2 linked regions of the Drosophila melanogaster genome follow. The protein of the gene in region 2 purifies or fractionates together with the protein of the main gene of each other region. This does not show direct contact. Each region holds a gene or a part of one and is shown on either strand. Other genes may lie near its edges.

Region 1 (3,755 bases), on a different chromosome or scaffold from region 2:
CTTCTTGTTGCGCCGCTTGAGTCGCTCAATCTCCGCCTGCAGCTTCTCCATCATGTTTTTGGTGGACTCATAGGCTTCGGCAGCGGGATTTTCACTAAAGTGTACCACCTTGAAGTCCTTCATGTTGAAGTCGCCCCGCAAGCAGCGGTGCATCATCTCCATCTCCAGTTCCTCCTTGCGCCGACGCAGCCGATCGTTTTCCATCCGCAGCGTATCCAGTTCCTTTTTGACGCTATCGTATCCCTCTCCGGCAGGTTCGTTCACAAGCTCCTGCTGGCGCAAGGATTGAATCTCGCGTTCCAACGTGGCACACATGTCCTTGTATCCGGTTACGGTGCGTTCAAGCACCTCCATTCGGACCCGCACCTGCATGTCCTGCGTCATGTCCGCCACACTGGCATTGCTCAGGGTCGTGTCCTTGTCGAAGTTTTCCACCAGTTGTTTGTAGAAGTCGCGCTCCTTAGACACGGTGATCAGTTTGCGCTGCAGTCGCTCCTTGAAGTTCTTGTGGCGTTTCAGTCCGATATTGAGATCCTCGATGTTCTTCAAGTAAATGGCGCACTTATGCTCTAGATCTCGAATTGTGGTCTATAAAATGGAGTCAGATAAATTGGACTTGGAACACATTGGACAAAACCTACATTCAAATGCTTGGTATCCGAAGCCGATGATGTCTTCTCTGCCACGTGAATGATGTCTTCTTTTAGCAGTTGCTCAATGCGCGAGCGTAGGGCCATTGGGCTGACCAAAGTGTTGGCCAAGCAGTGATCCTGGGCCACCTTGACCCATTCCTTGAGTTCTTGCTCCATGTGAAGCAGTTTCACCTGCAGGGAAGCTGCTTCCGCCCGAGCACCTTCCTCCCGCTCCAGTCGCGTTTTGTAGTCGTAGACCTGCTCCTCCAGAAGCAATTTATCGCCTATCAGAGTGTTTAAATGCTTGTTGTGGCTGCGCAGATGCTCCACCTCAGCTAGCAAATCTGGAACACTGGCCAGGCGCTCTCGTGAGGTTTTGACCACCTCCTTCCAGTCGCTATACGACTGAATTTCGAACTCCAGCTCCTGAATGCGATCGTTGGCCACCTTCAAGCTTTGCGTTTGCTTCTCGTGATTGGCGCGCAGCTGCTCGAATCCGGAAGCCCTGGCCTGTAACTCCTCATTGAGTTGACGTAGGCGCTCCAGTTCGTTGCGCGTAGACTGCAGTTCGAGATCGGCCCGCTGGGCTATGCGGCGATATTCGCTCAGTTCGTTGTTGATGCACAGGTGCACATCGCGGGCATCCTCCTTCTGCAGGTACTTCTCCTTCTGCAACTTGAGCGTGGATTCATCGAACTTAAGCCTAAGTTGGTTCAACTCGGCGGTGGCCCGACTGGCCTCATTCTTCAAGACCAGCTCTCGCTTACGAAGCGCCTTAAGATCGTCCTGCAGCTCCAAATTCTTCTTGCTGGTGATGTCGCACTGATCCTTTAAGGCCGTGCTCTTGTTCTCAGCCAGCAATATGGCCTCTTTGTGTTCCCGGCTCTTCTTTTCGATTTCGTTACGCAGCTGAATTACTATGGCCTTGGTTTCGATCAGCTCGGTCCGTAGTTTGCTGTTCTGCAAAGAAGCCATGGAATCGTTGGCGGGCATATTGAGGGAAGAGGCGGTGTCGTTAAGACTGCGTTCCGGTGATTCCCGTTCCCGACGTCGCTTATTGGGTGCTAGTAGAGGAGTTACTTGTTAGTTTCTACGTTCGCGCCTGTAAATTACAACTTACAAACTCCTAAATCGAAGGAGGCGGAAAGCCGGTTGAAAAGTAGTTTCTTGGGTGCCGAATGGGTAATGCTGTCGTTAAAGCGGTCCATCATATCATCTATGCTGCTACGTATGTCGTCCATTTTAAGTTGTATGTGGGAGACCTTAGTTGACGTTTTCAGTAAAGATATTTACTTTTTATTGCTAAAAGAAGTTGGTAAAATATTAATCTTAGAGTGGCTGCAAATATTTAGACAAGAAATGCCAAATATTGGTCATATTTTATTAGTATTAAAGTGGCCGATAACTTTGGCTTTTGTATCCAAAATTGTCACCAATAATCAAATATACGTATATTAATCTGGGAAATAATATCTTAAAAGGGACAGTTGTCTTAAGCAATTTCTTTATTTGGTGTGTTAATATAAAATCAAGAAAACAAATCAAAAGCTAAGTTGGCAGCCCAGTTTAGTATATTCGAGCGTGACTCTTTTCTGCACCACCCAAAAGTATGTTACACGAAATACTACAGGTAAAAGAAATCGCAATCGATAACGATAGTTCTTCGAGTGTTGCCGAAAATAAAAATTGATTTGCATTTCTTCTCGGCTTAAAATGAATTAAATGTTATTGTTTCCGCACCGAAAAAACTCATAAATCGTTAAAACAACAAATTCCGAAATCGGAATTAATTCGAACAATTGAACAACTGCCAAAAACTAGAACGTATGTGAAGCGTGTGTGTCGTACATACCAAGAGATAAGGACAAAAAACGGTTAAAAGAAAGCTTTCAAGAAAGAGAGTATAGAAAATAAATTTTACTAAAGTAACAAAAAAAAAACAACGAAACGCGTGTGCGTGTGCAACAAAAAAGTGTATGTCAAATAAGAAAATGTGGCTCCAGCGATAACGGTACTCCAATGTGCTCTCTCGCACGCACACAGAAGCATCCCGCACACGTACACCACCACCACTGCCAAAAAGCAAATCCTGCCCAACAGCCGCACCTATAAAAGTGGGCGTGGGTTGACCCAAGTTACTGTAACAAATTTGCAAAAAGTGATGCATGCTAATTGTTTAAACAAATCCCAGCTTTCCTAATCAAATACCTTTGCGAATTCCAATACACACCTATACACACATACCCACGCAGTGATTGGTGTGGAGAGGAAGAAGGAAAGGAAGCCAAAGGACAGGATAGAAAAGCAAGAGGAAGAACGAAACAGCATCGGCGCGTTGGAGAAATGTGCGGGAAGAGAAGATTGAAAATAAACGTGTAGTAGAGAATTTTTGAGACACTCACACGCACACACTCCTCCCACACTCTTTCTCTCTGTCTCTCCGTCTATACCGCTTGCCGCCTACACACACACATACTTAAGTAGACGCACGAGAGTTCTCGTATCGCGAAAAGCGTGTGCTTTGTTGTTGCCTCTCCCACTCCCTCGCTCTAAGAGGCGCTCCCGTGTTGTTTTTGTTGTTATTGCCGCTGAGCAAATGGCAGACCCTCTAAGCGGGTGCCGCTGGTGATAACATGTCGTAATGGCCAGAGAGGTAAGTGCAAACGTGCTAAAAGCAAAGCAAAGCCGGCAACTACGGCTTAACCGTTTTAGTTTTCCCGATCACCACGGTACCGCAAGTTACTTTGCCAAAATCAGCTGTTCTCACTTCATCACCATCCCCCATCATTCACATCTGCAACCAACGGTGTTAGCCTCTCCCAACATTAAAACAGTTAACCCTATGTCATATTTTTCCAAAGAAGTTTAACCCAACACTACAACTTAATAATAAAAATGCTGCGTGTAACAAATAATTATTCTCTGTAGGAATGAATTTTTTAATTAAGCAGTAGAAACAAAATAATCAAAAATAATACTAGGTAATAGATTTTTTTTAATAACATGCAATTTGAACAAAGTAAAATTTATAATATATTTTAATATTTCTTTGACTTGGTCTTTGTAGATATTTTGTTCTTTACGTGGTCAGCTGAACGAAAGATAGGTTCTTTATAGAGCAAC
Region 2 (3,755 bases):
GATTGCACTCATCTTGGCATAGACGTTTCGGATGTGGCCGAACGGTGTCTTTTGGTAGAGTAGCAGGTAAAGGATGCAGCCCAGCGACCACACGTCCGATTTGGTCGAGATCTTGATCTTCGGCTGATCGGCTCTGCGCATCGGGCTATTCCCCGTGGAGGTGTCCGTCAACGCCTCCGGACTAATGTAGTTAAAGGTGCCCGCCTGCGAGAATTTGATGATGCTCGTCGAGTCCACAGCGATATTGCTGGCTATGCCAAAATCGATCAACTTCAGTCTGCCGCTGACCATCAGGAAATTTGCCGGCTTGAGATCCGAATGGATGACACCGTGTTGGTGAATGTAGTTGACCGCTTGCAGCATTTGGTACAGGATGTTCATCAGGCTATAGAGAGGAAGGTTGGTGGTGTAGCTCTGCAGGATCTTGTTCAAGTCGCAGTCACCTTTCTCCATCACCATGTACAGCTTGGACTCCTCGCGCACAAGTTGACTAAGGAAAAAAAAGTACTTAAACAGTGACGTTAACAAGAAGTCAGTATTTAGAAATATTTACTAATCGTAAAGTGCCACAACACAAACGTTCCCTTGTAGCTTTGCCAGAAGTTTGGTTTCGTTTAGATATCCCTGCACCACTTGTGGATCGGCCTGCAGATCCACCACCTTCAGGGCGAACTCATTTCCGGAATCCGATCGGCGTGCCAAAAAAACAGAGCTGGAGCCGCCACAGCCCAGTTTCTTATCAATCGTATACTCATGATTCTTGATTTTTAAAATATTAGATGTCTTGTGGGAAGGCTGCTCTGGAGGTACAGCAACTGCGGGAATCGATACCAGCTCCTTTGGTTCCACATTATCCACTTTGTCTGGCACGTTATCCTTGTCCGACTCCCGGAAAACATGATCTAGGGACTTTTTGGAAGGATGCTGACTCTTTGGTGGTTCTGCCTTTTTCGGAGGCTCCGGAATGTCCGGGCTTTCTGTGATGGTGTCGCACAGGGAGAAGCTTATGCTATCGGAGGCCACTGGAGCAGCACGACTCACGGTCATAGGTGTTTGGAAGAGCACTTTCTGCGCACGGAAGTCATTGGACACCGCACTCCGACTTTTTCCCGCCAGTGTGGAACCAATTGTTCGTACTTGGGGGGTAATGAAGTCTGCATCCGGCTTCGTCTTCGAGGTGGAGGGTAATTCATTACGCAGTGGCGTCTCTGTCTCTTGGAGTGGGCGCCTTTCGGTGGCACTTGGTGCAGCTTGAAGCGTGGGTGCTGTCTTTTTGGCCACCTGTTTTTCCGAATTCGCAACAGGGGATCCTTGACTGCTGCAATTGATGCCCATGTCGTTGAATCTTCCCAGGAACGAGAGATTCGAATCGGATTGCTTAAGGGGGGCGGCACTTGGTGTTCTACGAGTGGTTATGTTGCTGTTGCTGTTTGTTAACTCTTGGGATGGGCTCAGCACAAAGGAATCGTTTAGGATGGCGCAGTTAAGGTTGTGATTGCTCTTGATGTCCTCCTCGTCACTGTCCGAATCCATCATAGTCAACTCGGACACTCGGCGAGGTCTAGAATCGATAAAAACGTTGTATGTAGAAGTAATGAACATTTCTAGGTGATCTTGTAACAAAAATCCCTCGACTTGTGGGTTAATATAGATTAACTTTTAGGGTATATACTAAGCCTAGAAGATACAGGTTAGTTTCGATGGACAGACCAATTTGGAAAGAAAAGATCTAGGATTCCTGAAAGAATTCATGGAAAATTAGATCCTTGCAGACTCAGGAGGACTTATGTATGGAGAACAGGAGATGTCATGCGATACTGGACATTGCTGTCCCAGTTCTTACAGCATATTTATGGGCAGGGGATGCGGTTCGTTCTCCTTGCCCCTCGTTTGGACTTGGAAAGACGCCACCGGCTGCTGTTTTCGTTCTCCCGCCGCCGCTTGTCGTGGTCGGTATGGCGTGTTAAAGTCGTCCTCGGAGTCGGAGTCCAGTCCCAGTGCCATCATGTCCTTGGTGCGGCGGGGCACAGGCGTGGTCATCTTGCAACCCGATTTATTCTGCCCGACAAATAGTTAAATATCCAATTGCAAATCAAATGCGGGGTTTAAATTTATTTTTTATTCAAGTGTGACCAAAGTTCAAAATTTAAAACATCCAAAGCGCGCTGAATGAAGCCTTTAATAGTTAATAAAACTTAAGTAGCCGAAGGCTAAGTTTTAAAATAATTAAACGAAAATGAGGATTTAAATAAATGTTTAATATTTTAAATTAAGAAATATTGAAAACTACCTAAATTATAATTTAGTGTTGACAACAAGCAAATATAAAAGCACACTCTTTGAGTGAGGGAGAGTGATGTATAAAATACATCAAAATGATTTAAAAGTAAGAATGGCTTAAATAAATAAATTAGATATTCAAATTCTAACAGTAAGTTTATTGTTTACATTTTAGGGTTGTCTTGTTTTTCATGGTCATCACAGAGCTGCCACCCTGAAAAAAGCAATATTTTGGCAGTGCTGCCACATCCAAGGAAAATAAGTGTTGTTTTCCTGCCGACAAATAAACAAAGCAGCAATAGTTCGAAAACTACGCATTCTAGAGCAGAGCAAATGGAGCAACCAGCAACTGGAGGCGCCGCTGTCCAACCGGGCGTGTCCCCAGCGCACATCCACGACACGGATCAGCTCCTGGACCCCGTCCTCTTCTCCAACGACAATGGAAGCTACAAGCTAAATACAGTGCCCGCATTTAGGTGAGATTTTATGCGGTGTACGGGGGAGAGACCTCAGCCGGCGGCAGTGAATCATCCATGGAGCTTTCAAACGACCGATAATGCACATAATTTAATCCATTCTCTGTCCACCCGTAGCCTTCATCTGGTTATCTCCACTGCAATCTCCATTGTGGGGATCGTACTTGCAGCCTCGTTTCCAACCGATCGGCGCTGCGATGCATACTTTATAATGCTCTACCTACGGGCCACCTTCTGGGTCATCACATATGTAAATATACCAATCAGCAGTCTGTCAATCCCGACCTGCCTCAATGTCAACGGTTTTTACAGCTCTTCGATCACTTCGTAAAGAAGCAACACGACAATCTACGCATGCAGGGCTATCACGACTTTCACCGCGAGACTAACATGCAGAAGGGGATTCCCCTTCAGCTGGTATCCCTGTGGAACTCCATGCTGCTTGCTGTCCAGGCCCTAATCCACCACTTCTATGCGGAGAACTTTTGGGAACATTGCGCCGCCGGGTGGCTGTCGCCGGTCAGCTATGTGACCGCCTTCACCGTGGCCGAGAATCTGGTGCTGGCCGTTTCCCACAGCTTATATATTGGTAATGAAGTAACATAGTATCTAGTCAGCGATAGTGAGGGAATCTACTTAGTGTCATGGTATGACTTTTATTTTTATTTTATTTTATGACAGATCGAGCTATCATCATTTTTTTAATATATCTGTGTGTATATATATTGAAATGACGATGGGCAACATTTTATTCAAATAGTTTATATAATGACATAATATAGTAGTCGGGATGGCTAGGTATTTTTTTTAAACTGATTAAGTGACTTGCAAGCAATTGTAATACGCAAAAAATGAGTCAGAGCCGCTTAAATAATCCAGGTATTTAAAATTGAAGTGATTCAGTACAGCCACTAATTAAGTTCGTTCTTTCTTATGGTTCCAAAGCGAAAGATTTTTGATTAAGAACCAAGTAATTTCAGGTATAAAAGTTGTCATAGA

The links.
Region 1: the proteins of Mps1 (region 2) and Mad1 purify together in Drosophila melanogaster (affinity purification with western blotting; 2 studies listed by BioGRID, with this or other methods). This does not show direct contact.

Annotation. Positions count from the first base shown.
Region 1 is NT_033778.4:9,289,585-9,293,339, forward strand, and holds the start of Mad1 (mitotic arrest-deficient 1), read right to left. Parts: upstream 1,982-3,755; 5' UTR 1,874-1,981; coding exon 1,753-1,873; intron 1,697-1,752; coding exon 642-1,696; intron 589-641; coding exon 1-588.
Region 2 is NT_033777.3:17,669,656-17,673,410, reverse strand, and holds the start of Mps1 (monopolar spindle 1), read right to left. Parts: upstream 2,141-3,755; 5' UTR 2,041-2,140; coding exon 1,844-2,040; intron 1,562-1,843; coding exon 554-1,561; intron 491-553; coding exon 1-490. Other genes in the region: CG7523 (uncharacterized protein), read left to right, coding at 2,614-2,756, 2,874-3,006, 3,069-3,345.